Linked DNA regions of Caenorhabditis elegans. The protein of the gene in region 2 purifies or fractionates together with the protein of the main gene of each other region. This does not show direct contact. Each region holds a gene or a part of one and is shown on either strand. Other genes may lie near its edges.

Region 1 (5,814 bases), 9.1 Mb from region 2:
CTTTAAATTTTTTGAATCAAACTTTGCCTGTTGATAAGAGAAAAAAAATACTTTTTCACTAAAAGGAAGCAAATTGACCGAAATTTTAATGTAATTTGTGAACAATGGGAAAACGAAAAAATAGCGATTTCTCTGGAAATTTTTTTTGAAGCCGACACCGCAGAAAAATTCGTTTTTTGAGATCAATGTGAAAGCGCGCTCAGCAGCGAAATGAGCAGGATCCGCCTCCAATAGTTGGGTCTCGTTAGGTATTGGAGGCAAAACAGTGAATCTCTGAAGCAGACATTTTTCGAAGACATCCTTGATTGCCGAAAAATAAAACGTTTGAATTTTTAGGCTTTTGCCGCCAATTAACTAACGAGACCCATTGTATTGGGGCTGTGGAGCACGCTCGCACACTGATGGACAGAAAAACATCTGAAAATAATAATTTTTCTGAAAAAAAAGTATTTTAATTGATCAATAACCAATACAGAGATATCATAATCTATATCACAATAAAACAAAAATAATTCATTAAGAGCATCGATAACAAAAGAAGTGTTCAAAACGAAGAAGAAATCAAAAATAGAAAACAAATAAATCTAAAACTACAACTCCTATCTCACACTACCACATGGCTCTTTGGACTCCACTGAGAGCTGATCTATCTGCAAATCGACGGAACAAGTGTCTACTCAATCTGTATGGCTTTATCTTTCCACGTTGTCGTCCTGTGAACTGGCACATATTGAGAATCAGACGAGGATGATCGTATTTTCGAGCTTTTTGCATTTTCTCGGCTGCTTCGTCACGAATCGCTTGCGGGAGAATTGTGTTGAATTTGATAGCTTTTAGACGCATACGATCCGCGCCGACTTCCTGAAATTAAATTTTAATCAAGGGCAAGCAGCAGGCCTGGGCTTGTTTAAGGCTTTTTTGTCAAAAATGGGGGTGTCGGGGGTTTTTTGTTACAAAAATGGGTTTTTTCTGGTTTTTTTGGTTTGTGGGGGTTTTTTTAATAAAAAAGGGAATTTTTTGGTTTTTTCGTCACAAAAAATGGTTTTTTTTTTGGGTTTTCTGTTTTGTGGGGTTTTGTTTTTTTAAAAAGTAATGATTTTCAATAACGATTTTTTGGTGGTTTTCGAATAAAAAAAATATTTAAAAAATTTCAGACATGTGAAAAGAAGCGAAAAACTTTTTTTTGTTTATGGAAAATTTTTTTTGGTGACAGCCCTGGTGTTTTTTGGTATTCTGGCACGAAGAAAAATGCGATTTTTTTTTTGTATTTTAAACAATTTATATTTTGTAAATATTCTTATGGTTTTTGATGTTTTTTAGCTCTGTCGGTAGTGGTGGCCGCTAGCAGTCTGGAGGTCACGAGTTCAAGTCCGGCCTCACCCCCTAGGTTCACCCAGCCTCTATTGGGAAGTGGAGCAATCCACGACTGGATTATCGGCCACAGTCCCCGGCTAGGACGTGGCTTAAATTACAGCCCAGAGGGATCACCACCAGGCAGTGTACCTGAATCCCAGATCCGCAGTGCATAGCACTTGAAGAACGGATCGTCCTTTAATCCTTTAATCCTTTAAAACAAATTTTTTGGCACATATGACAATATTCGTATTTTTTGGTATTTTTTGTTTTGGTTCTTTTACAAATTTCAATTTTTTTCCTTTTTGGTTTGAAATAAAAACCAAAAATATTTTTAGCACATATGACAATATTCGTATAAAAAATAGAAACCAACCTGAATCTGCTCACGTCGTTTGACATCTCTCAACTGACGCCAACTCGCCCAGAATGTCATTCGTTTTCCGGTTTTCCACCATTCTCTCTCCACGTATCTATAGAAACGTATATTCAATACAAGTGTATAGTTTATGTGCAATTCTTTCTCACTTTGAGAATAAAAAAGCGGCAGGCAATAATTTCAAAAATATACAAAAAAAACCAAAAACCTACAATGGATACTGATCAAGTTTCAATTTTGTAAGCGCCTCGCTAGAATATGGTTGAGTGATTCGTTTCTCTTTCATAGGTTCTCCAGCATCTTCTACAGATGTTGCCGGTTCCGTGGATTCCGTAGTCTCTTCAGATGATGGTTTTGCAGGTTCAGGAGCTGGAGTTGATAAATATCTGGAAATTGTTGGACATTTAAATTAAGCCATAAGACGATAATTCCTGTTTTCTCAGCGCGAGAAAAGGATTGAGTTCGAATAACAAATTTTGAAATTTGAAAACCAAAAAAAAAGTTTTCCATTTAGTTTTTTTTTCGAATAAAAAAGCAAAAATTGAACTTTTCGTCAAAAATACGAGTAATTTCGCAGGCCTCAAACGTTTTTTTTTGTTGAGAATTTTCGAATATTTTAATAATAATTGCATTTTACTTCTAATTTCAAGTGTAAGTTTTCGGAAAAAAAAGGGAAATTCTAAAAATTAATTTTTTAAAAACGTTTCCATTTTGTGGCAGGTTCACTTTTTTCAACGAAAAATTTTCGCTTAAACAAATTTTATAAATTGAAAGTTTAAAATATTCTCGAGTGTAAAAAAAGCAAAACATCAAAATTTTTCGCCAAAAGCAGGATTTTCGCATAGTTTAAATAATAATTAGAGAAATCTATACTCACCTTCTACTCATCATCATTTCATTCTTGTAAAGAGCCGTCGATAGTAGGTCCGCTGCTCCGCGGAGTGCCCTCAACATCTGTGCACATACATTGCAATACATATTTAATACAATTATTCATGCATGGAAGGAACTGGTTGGAGGAAGTGTAACCTCTTTCATGATGAAAGAAATATGACATTAAAACGAATATTTTCATTGTTGAAAACAAAAAATTTTTACCGAAACAAAAAATGCGAAAAGACAGAAGAATTATAATACAAAAATAAACATAATCTGTCGGATAGAAAGAACAAAAGAAAGAAAGATTCCTGGGATGAAATGAATACCGGTGGATAATTATATGGAATGGATTTTTAAAAAAGTTATAGGCCGAGTTACACAAAAAAGAGAGAATCAACGTCCGGATTCGGAATACTGTAGTCCAATTTCCTGCTGTGTTTTCATGTATTCCTCGTCGGTCACAAATAAACTATGCTCTTGTCCCATGCTTTGTTCGAGAATGAGGTAGCTGTAAATAGTGTTATTTAGAATGCATTGGCATGTGTGCTGATTATAATTGCATAGCGTTTTAATAAAATTTATTCGCTTTGTATTGTATTGTTGTATATAGACTAGACTAGAAATCGAAAAAAAATAATACGATTTAAATTAATTATACTTCGATAATTTGAACATTGTAATAAAATCAATCTTAGTTGATTATTTTCAAAAATCGGGCACAACAAATTACATTTTTGAACTGAAACTTTGCTCTCAATAATTGAACTTACATCATCTCCATTAGATCTCCATTCTTGCGGACAGTTTTTGCTTCAATATAATCAAAGTGCAAATTGAGAGCCCATGTACATTGACCTCTTGCACGAGTGTAAGCCTGTAAGAAATTTAAATTTCACATACAACCTTTTTTCCTGAAAACTCACATCGTCCTTTAGAATCTTCTGTGACAATTTACTGGCAACTCTTATAACTTGTCTCCAGATAGCCGGATCACGTGTATTAGCTGCTTCTCGTTTCCAATTTTTATAGAGGATTTGATTTCCGGCGTCTCCAATCCGGTTGGCTGCATTCATCCAAGAGAACATAATAGTCAACGAGTTCATGAGAAGACGAGTTTCAAGTTCTGGATCAAATTGCTGATCTCGTTTCGCATTCAAAATACTATTTCTGCTGTCGGTGAATCCTTGAAGCTTCATCACTTGCAGACGACCGCTGGAATGCAGCTCGCCGAGCATCTTCGCATATTTCGAATCACATGGGAACGCTTGCGATGCTTGGAAGATCAACTTTTTGAAGTTTTCATTGTAGATGAAACGGTGTTTTTTGTGCGAAAAGAAGGTTATGAGAGTGTCCGTGATGAATTTCAAATCGATCTGATCACAGTATTTTTCATAAGTTCCACGATTGAAATCATTTTTCTTGGCTTCAAATTGCTCGAATTTGGTGATCGCGTTGGCAATGAGGCAGTCGACTGCACGCCTGCTGAATGCCATCTTGTCCACTGAAATTTAATAAAATAATCAATTAATTTTTACAAAGACTCAAAGACTATAAAACTCACAGAAAACAAATACCGCCACAACTTTCAAAGCTTCGCACAGTGCCTCAGCTCTTGGTAATTCTGGTATACTGTCGACCGATTCAAGATTGTCCTTCTCCTTGCAATGCTCCAGCAATTCGTTCAATCCTTGATCCAATGCCAATAAGAGAGCTTCATCACTTTCAAATTCCGAAGTGTGAATTCCAAGAATCTCTTTACAGAAAACATCTCGAGTCTCTTCTAAAGCATTTTGATTTAGAATAGAAAGTCTTCCACGTAGAACATTGGCATAAAGATGTAATTGAAGCGTTGGCAATGAAGAATCAGCGCTCTGAATGAGCTTTTCTGTTGATTTGGGGATAGCTATATCAATCATATCCCTAATCTTATCACGAATTGTTTGCACTCGTTCTTTGTCTTTCTTTAACAATATGACATCGAATTTAACATCATCTACGACGCCTTCCTCCATCTTGATCTCTTTATAATTCTTCCTTCTCTCGTCAGCTTCCACTACTTTTTCCTGTTCTTTCAGTGCACGCTCCCACCAAGACACAAACTTTTCCATGTAGACAATTCCTGTGATCTTACTCAGCATGGCACGCTTGAAAATGTCTGGATGTTTAGTGATGAATGTTCCAACCAAGTTTTTAAGATTCAGTTTAAAACTGTGGAAATTCAATTTCTTCTCCTGTTCCGAAGCTTCGGTGACGAGCATTGCCAGCAAGTACTTCACCATAGTCTTATCCAAGTATTCAGGATTGTTTTCGGTCAGTTTGAGTCGATTGTAAAGCATAAACTTCAGAATATTATTTCCAACTTCAAAGCACTTTTTCTCGGTATAAGTCGGAGTTTTGTAGAAGTTAACAGTAGAATCATTAGAAATCCAATCAGAAATGATTTGTTCGGTTGTTGTGAAGCAGTTCGTCTGGAAAAAAAAAGTATTTTTACAATTCCTCAAAATTAATTTCAAGCATAATATTAGTTGAAATTTGCTTACCGAATTTAAAAATTTGACGCCGAGCAACTCCAAAAAAGGTTGTACAAAATCGAAATTAGCACAATCGCCTGGTGCTTCATAATATCGAATTCTATCAAAAGGAATGATGTCCCAGAGTTCACATGTCTCTAAGTCGTCCACATGATCTTCATAAAGTTCACAATCTTTCAGTTTCGTCCGTTTCACGCGAGCATCGATGTTCATCATTTCTCGTTCAACTTCGATCCACGAAATCTGCACGTCCCGTTGAGCTTGAAGACACGTCGCTATTGTTTCCTCGGTGCGTGAAATAAGAATATCAAAATCATCATTTTCCAATTTCTGAATATCTTCATCAGATAATTCTTCCGATTGTTTAAGCATCTTCTCTGCACCAACAGCACCTTCGTCGCCGATTCGCGGAAGACCAGATTCCCAGAATTCCTCCAATCTGACTTCCCGTTCTTTTGAATTAGTGCTCGTCCGCTTTTCAACATCAGCGAGTCCAAAATTGTATTCAAAAGTGGCCTGAAATAAGTAAAATCTTGAAAAAAAAAGTGATTTAATACTCACAAAACCAAAGGTTTCTTAGTATTTCCTAAAATCTCACCTGTATGTTTGCCAGTACCACTGGCGTGTGTGCACAGGAAATCATCCACTTCAAATAACGAATATAAATCCATA
Region 2 (7,107 bases):
GTTAGTTTGGACATATTTTAGACCTCTTACATAGTTCCAGGCACTCAGAATCCAGCTGCGGAGGGTTGTGGTTCTGGAAAATTTCAATTTTAGTCTAGTTTAGATAGAATCTGGAAATTATTAGAACCCACCTCCCATAATGGCAAAATTTCCATTCACATCTGGAGCGGCTTTTCCTTTTCCATAGGTATCTGCGGCAAAAGCTACGTAGCCGAGCTGAAAATTATGGAATTTTTTAAACAATTGTATTTTCTACATTTTTTCTCTTGGAGCCAAATTTCTTGGAGCAAAATGGGGGAAGTTATGGCAACTTTTGGAGTAATTAGCTGAGTAGCGACTTGGCTAGATTTTATATTGGCCTGGAAACATGGTACAACTTGGAGCGTAAATTTCAAACCAGAGTACCAAGTTTGCAATTTGAGTCGCTACTCAGTTCCAATAGCTCCGTATCACACTTTATACCACCGACGTGGACTAACTTTGCCTCTTACACCAAGTTTCAAAGAGTAATAATGAGCAAAGTCATGGCCATTTGAGTTTCATGACGACTTGTTCAGTCGCTACTCAATATGATACGGAGCCATCAATTTAGCTGAGTAGCGACTCAAACAAGTTTCAAACTGCCATAACTTTGTTCACTTTAGTCCTAGATACTTGCTACAAGAGGCAAAGTTGTAGAGTATAACCGTTTTAATTAAATGGTATTAAATGTGATACGGAGCCAAGCCATTAATTTTGCTGAGTAGCGACTCATCTTCAAATTGTCATAGCTGTGTGAATTTTTGATCCTAGAAACTTGCTCCAAAAGACAAAAGTAAAGCTAATTTCCTTTTTCCTAGACTTTGACCTACCTTAGCCAAATCCCTAGCCTTCTGATTATCAAATTCGGTACGTCCAGTGAAAGCATGGAAGATGATGACAGCAGGGCGCTTACGGAAGAACCCAGTAATTCTGGAAAACCTCAAAAATTAAAAAAAAATTCCCACTAAAAACTTACACAGGATACGCCAAATATCCCTCCAGAACAGTATTCTGTGAGTCTTTATATTCTACCAATTTTGTACAAATTGGGTTAAAATCTATGAATCCCTGACTTGCTGGGATTAGAAATAGTGCTGACAATATCATTTTGAGCATGTTTTAACACGGAAAATTTTGCGATAAAATGTGGTAAATTGGGGCACATTTTATACCGAAAAATTGCCACTGTAAACAAATGGAAATTTCGACGGAAAAATTGATAAAGGTCAGCAAAATTACCATAAAAGTCTAAAAATTGGCTGTTGTTTTGACATTTCACCACTAGATTTGCATATCACAAGGCCAGAGGACAGTCTGAAAATTTGAACTTTTCAGATTTTTTTGTTCTGAAAAAAAAATTTTCATAAGCTTTTTTCAAGGTTTGTGCATTTTAAAGTACGCTTTACTTTTATTGAAACAAGTTGCTACTCAGCGAAATTAATGACTCCGTATCAAACTGTGTGCCAAAATAAAAGTCAAAATAAAATTTTATTGGCTCCAATTTTGCTTTTTAGAACATGTTTCTACCTCATTATTGAAAAGAGTTATGCTGCTTTAGAATTTGATGAGTCGCTACTCAGCGAAATTAATGACTCCGTATCAAATTTTGTTCCAGCCAACGTGAAATTTTATGGGCTACAACAATTTTGCCTTTTGGAGCAAGTTTTCCTAGGACCAAAATCAGCAAAGTTATGCACATTTGAAATATAGCGAGTCGCTACTCAGTCGATTATTTAATGACTCCGTGGCACACTGAGTCGCTACTCAGTTAAATTTTCAAAAACACCATAACTTTGTTCATTTTGATGCTAGAAACTTCTTGCAAAAGACAAATTGTAGAACATGAAATTTTACGTCCGCTCGTATACTGTGTGATACGGAGCCATTAAAACTGAGTAGCGACTCGAGACTATTTTATGCATTGTATCCGATTGTGAATATTTCGATTTGACAAAAACTATACGGTTTTTAACTTTGAAATCTAAGCACTAGCTCTTTATCTGAACAAGTTACAAAGCTTCAAAGTTTGGCCAAGTCGCTACTCAGCCAAATTTTGAAACTGATTTTTAATATAGAAATAGCCTATGCAATACGTAATGTAAAAAATTTCAAAAATTGAAAAACTGAACTTGTGGCCGATTTATTGATTGATTCTTCTTTTTTTTTGTGTGTGGTTTGTATAAAATAATATTGTGTGTTCAACAATTGAGTGGTGGGCGAAAAAGTGAGAGGATTACTGTAGTTGTGTGTGTGTTGGGGCAATATTTAAAATTAAATTAATGATATAGATATTATGTGACAAAAGAGTGGGGTTTTGAGAGTAAAAGTTGAGAAAAAAGGCAAAAAAATGCGGGAAAAAAAAAGTTAAAATTTTCAAAAAATCATGAATTTTTGGTATTATTATTCACTGAAGTAATCGAATTCTTCTTTTTGTTTCCCTTAATTGTCTTGATAAATGGAAGAAAAACACTGCAAATTTGAGAACTGGGCCGTTCTGTTGATGAGTTGGAGCGGTTGGGTTTTCTGGAAAAAATTAATTAAAAATTGAATTTCTAGGATATTTTGCAGTTTTTCAGAGGTTTTTGCCAAGAAAATCAAAAAATGTAAAGTTTTTAGCATTTTTCCCCTCGAAAAACCGTCAAAAACGGAATTTCCAGTAAGTTTCTCAGTGGCGCGCACTTACAACCAGCGGTCGGCGGGAATTTGAATTTGTTGAGTTGAAAGTTGCATTTTAAGTAAGTTTTTATAGTTCTAAACCTAAAAATGTATCGAAAATTCGAATTTTACAAACCGCAAGCTACAAATGCGCCCCAATGCTAAATTTCTCATTGGCGCGCATTTGCAACCAGCGGTCGGCGGGAATTTGAATTTGTTGAGTTGAAAGTTGCATTTTAAGTAAGTTTGTATAGTTCTAAACCTAAAAAAGTGTCAAAAATGCGAGATTTGCAAAGCGCATGTTGCAAATGCGCTCCAATGCTAAATTTATGACTGGAGCGCGCTTGCAACATGCCGTCGGCGGGAATTTGAATTTTTAACGACTTTTCTAAACTTACGAGTCATCCTGAGTCTTCTCCTGATTCTCGATCCTCTCCAACTCCTCAAAATCAGTATTTTCTATCCGCGTGGGCGACACCAACGAATATGTAGATCGGTAGAAGGATTTGTCTGAAATTTCTAAAAATTCTGGAATTTTTTCTGAACTTTTTGCAATATATCTAGAAATTTGGAGCATTTTAAACGGAAAAATTAAGAAAAACCAAAAATTTACCTTGAATATTGAGTTTTGAGAGTTCCGAATTCAGATTTTTGTGTGCTTCAAGTGGGCTCGGCGACGAGATTTCCTGCTCAATTTTGTGGGCGAATGAACGGAGGAAAAGCTCTTCCCAAAGCTTATTTGGCTGAAAAATTACAGAAATTGGCCTAAAGACTTCAATTTGAATTTAAAAATTCTGAAATCCGGCTGGCCAAACGCGCTCCATTGCTAATTTAGCATTGGAGCGTGCTTGCAGCGTGGGGTCAGCGGGAATTCAAATTTTTGATTTTTTTTTTTTGGCTAGAATAGCATGTTTAAACAGAAAAAGCTCAGATTTTTACAAATTTTTTTGTTGTAAAAATAGAAAAAATACCAACCTCGTCATGCCCATCTTCTGTCATTTTCCGGCCATCCTGTAGATATTTGGGCTTTGAACTTTTCTTTTTACCCTGTCCAGTGAAAAGTGGACGCCATGATGGAGTACGCTTGGTAGAGTTGTGGCGGGAAGCTGAAAATTTTTAGAATTTTTTTTTTTGAAAAATTTTTGAAATTTTTTTTGAAAAATTTTTTGCTTTTTTTTTTTAATTTTTTCTAATTTTTTTTCTAGTTCTACAGTAACTTGACTTACCATTTGCTGATTCACTATCCCCACGTTTTCTGACAGAAGTGTCTCTGCTCAACAGGTTTGGAGCAGTTGCGTAGTAGTCGAGAGGAGTATCACACTGAACATTGACCATTCCAATCATTTTGTGTGTTGGGAGCTGGAAATAAACCAATTTTATGTTGGACAATTTTAAGATTCAAAAAAGTTACAAAGAAAGCAAGAAAAGTTGAAAAAAATTTTTTTAATAAAAAAAATTACTGAAATTTTTGAAAAAAAAACTTTTTTTCGTTTATCTAAACTGTTAAATTTGAAATCAGCACTACTTAAAACCTCGTCACATAAATTTTCAGCCAATTTCCATCAAAACTGTCAAAACTCCGTATCACAATGGATAACAGAGTCGCTACTCAGCCAATTTTCAAAATAAGCGCTAGGAAGCTATAAATTTTGGAATAGACTAGAATACGCACAGAGAATTCAACAAGTTAAGTTAAAATAAGTAAAATAGAGTGGTTTTTGTATTTTCTAATTATTTTTTTTTTAATTAAAAAAAATTTCAATTTTTTTTGACATTTTTTTCCCAAAATTTTTTTATTTTTTGTTAAAATTCTAATCAGGACTACTTAAAGTCAAGACACAAAAATTTTCAGCTTTCTAGCATTAAAACTGACAAAACTCAGTATCACAATGGTTAACTGAGCCGCTACTCAGCCAATCTACCAAAAAATTGAGCTAGAACAGTGTAAATTTTGGAATAGACTAAACCAAGTACGGTGAATTCAAAAAAAAAAGTTTTGAAAATTACAAAAAAATAGTTGTTGTTAGGTTTTCAGAGAGCAAAATTACAGTAACTTCCAGAAAATTCCAGGGAAAAACCCCACAAAAACATGGGCTAAAAAGTGTATTTGTCATCTGTTTTGTGTATTTAAAAACCCGAAAAACAGGAAAATCGGGGCGTGGCTTCCACTCAAGACCCAATTATTTCAAGATTAGTGTCGCGCCAAAATTGGTAAGAAACATGGAAAATGACGGTGGAGCGGCGGCAAAAAAAAAAACGAAAAAGTTTGTGTGAGGTGAGAGATGACATGAATGACGTTGTGGTGATGGTCTTAAGACGATTTAAAGGCAAACATCATGAAAAGATGGGCGGTATGGGGGGAATGAATAGGGGGGGGGGGGCAGGCAAGGAGAAAGCTATTCACCAAAAAAAAAGTGGGGCTTTACATTGAAAATTGCATGAATTTTCATCAAAAATGACGATTTCTAGATGTTTTCAAATTTACGGGGGTTGTCATGGGTATACTGTAGCTGTGACTACTTTTAAAGAAAAAATATTTAAATATTCAAATTCAGCGTGAAAAACTACACCTAGCCATGAAATTTTAGCTTTCTAGCTCAAAATTTAGTAAATTGGCAGAGTAGCGACTCAGGTATTGCGAAATCGATATAAATTACTCATTTTCTGAAAATTCAATTGATTTTGTTCAATTTTAAGCATTAAATTTGAATTTTGCAGCTAAAACTAGACATAGGAAAAAATTTTGAGACTTCTACCTCAATTTAGACAAGTTTTAACAATTTGGCTGAGCAGCGACTCAGCTAACCATAGTGATACGGAGTTTAGTCAGTTTTGGAGATAACGAGCTGAAAAATGTTGTCTCTAGGTTTTACAAGATACTGATTCAGATTTTTAACTGGTTTTTGAAAAAATTTGCTTCTAAAATTTTTTTTTGGTGAAAAAATTTTTCAAAACTTTTTTGAAATTTTTTCTCCGAAATTCAAAAAACCAAAATATTAATCAAATTTTCAGTTAATTTTCCAACTTCAACGTATTCAGTTTAGCCTATTCCCTAATTTTCAGCCCTCTAGCTCAATTTTTGGTAAACTGGCTGAGTAGCGACTCAGTTGACCTAATACGGAGTTTTCTCACTTTTAATGGAAATTAGCTGAAATTTTTTGGGCTGGCAGATTAAGTTGTAGGCTTTTTGAAAGTTGAAGTGAATTTGAGATTCCTTAAAACTGAAATTTCGAAAATTTTCAATTTTTGGAAAAATTTTGAAAAAAAATTTTTCAAACATTTTGAAAACTTTTTTAAAAATTTAATTTTTGATTTTTGACGCATCTATGTTACAAGTATTATTTTTTCTGTCTTTCACAAAAAAAATATGAGCCATTTCCTGTTAAAATTGACAAAACTCCGTATCACTACGGTTTACTGCTACTCAGACAATTTACCGAAAATTGAGCTAGAAACCTAAATTTTAGCACTTTAGCAACATTTTTCAAAAGTTTCCACGCAAAAAACCACAATTTTAGACCAAAAATCCCCCCAAAATGACGTTTTCTCGGACTTTTAAAGGGCTCTCCGGGGGGAGGCGCGGGGGTGACTCAACGGCTATTGTTACGCGCGCCCCTGTCAACCACCGAATAGGTTTTGCACCAAAAAATTGTATAACAAACAAACAGTTTGATCTCTGAGCCAATGAGCAAATGATGTGCTCAATGGAATCAAAGAATAGGTGACCATGCGTCATGTGATTGGAATTTGGAACTATTGAGATCTGGGAGTCTAGATTTTTTATTTTTTGAGGTAAAAACTTGCTGGAAAGTGGGAAATTTGAAGTTTCTGTGAATTTTCTTGTAGATTTTTGAATTTTCCACACGAAATTACGTCTAAAACTAAGTTTCCAACCCTATTGCTCAATTTTTGGTAAATTGGCTGAGTAGCGACCCAACTACAGAGTTTTACCAATTTCAGTGATAAAAATCTCTAAACTTAGGGTATTAGGTGAAAAATGACGATGATTTTGAAAATATTATTTAAAATTTGTCATTTTAAGCATAACGTCAATATTTTTAACTTTCGAAAATTGCATGTTTTTTTGAATTAGATGAGTAGCGGCTTAAAGTGTCCGATAGTAGAAAAGTAGGATCAAAAAACGAACTCTTGAAATTTTCCACTGTAAGTTACGCTAAGAAAAGAAAATTTCAGCCATTTGACACAATTTTTTGCTGAATTGGCTGACTAGCGACCCAGTTAGCATTTTCGTCAGTTTTAGTGGAAAATGGAAAAAAAATTGAAAAGTTATGAGTTTGTTTGAAATACTTTGGAAAATTTGAATTTTATTGTTTTTTTCAGCTAGAAAATTTTCGAAAAGTTGAAAAATAATTTAAAAATTTTTAAAGTTTTAGTTTGGATCTAAAGTTTTTTTTGCTGAATTTAAAGTAT

What was found. The genes of interacting proteins can lie anywhere in the genome.
Region 1: the proteins of T23F4.2 (region 2) and mrps-14 fractionate together in Caenorhabditis elegans (co-fractionation; one large-scale study listed by BioGRID). This does not show direct contact.

Annotation. Positions count from the first base shown.
Region 1 is NC_003280.10:10,239,805-10,245,618, forward strand, and holds mrps-14 (Small ribosomal subunit protein uS14m), read right to left. Parts: upstream 2,687-5,814; coding exon 2,610-2,686; intron 2,119-2,609; coding exon 1,945-2,118; intron 1,827-1,944; coding exon 1,730-1,826; intron 862-1,729; coding exon 610-861; 3' UTR 501-609; downstream 1-500. Other genes in the region: nrde-2 (Nuclear exosome regulator NRDE2), read right to left, coding at 3,005-3,119, 3,382-3,485, 3,535-4,112, 4,173-5,079, 5,152-5,658, 5,741-5,814.
Region 2 is NC_003280.10:1,160,520-1,167,626, reverse strand, and holds T23F4.2 (uncharacterized protein), read right to left. Parts: upstream 4,038-7,107; 5' UTR 4,021-4,037; coding exon 3,903-4,020; intron 3,783-3,902; coding exon 3,652-3,782; intron 3,420-3,651; coding exon 3,290-3,419; intron 3,196-3,289; coding exon 3,075-3,195; intron 2,545-3,074; coding exon 2,403-2,544; 3' UTR 2,140-2,402; downstream 1-2,139.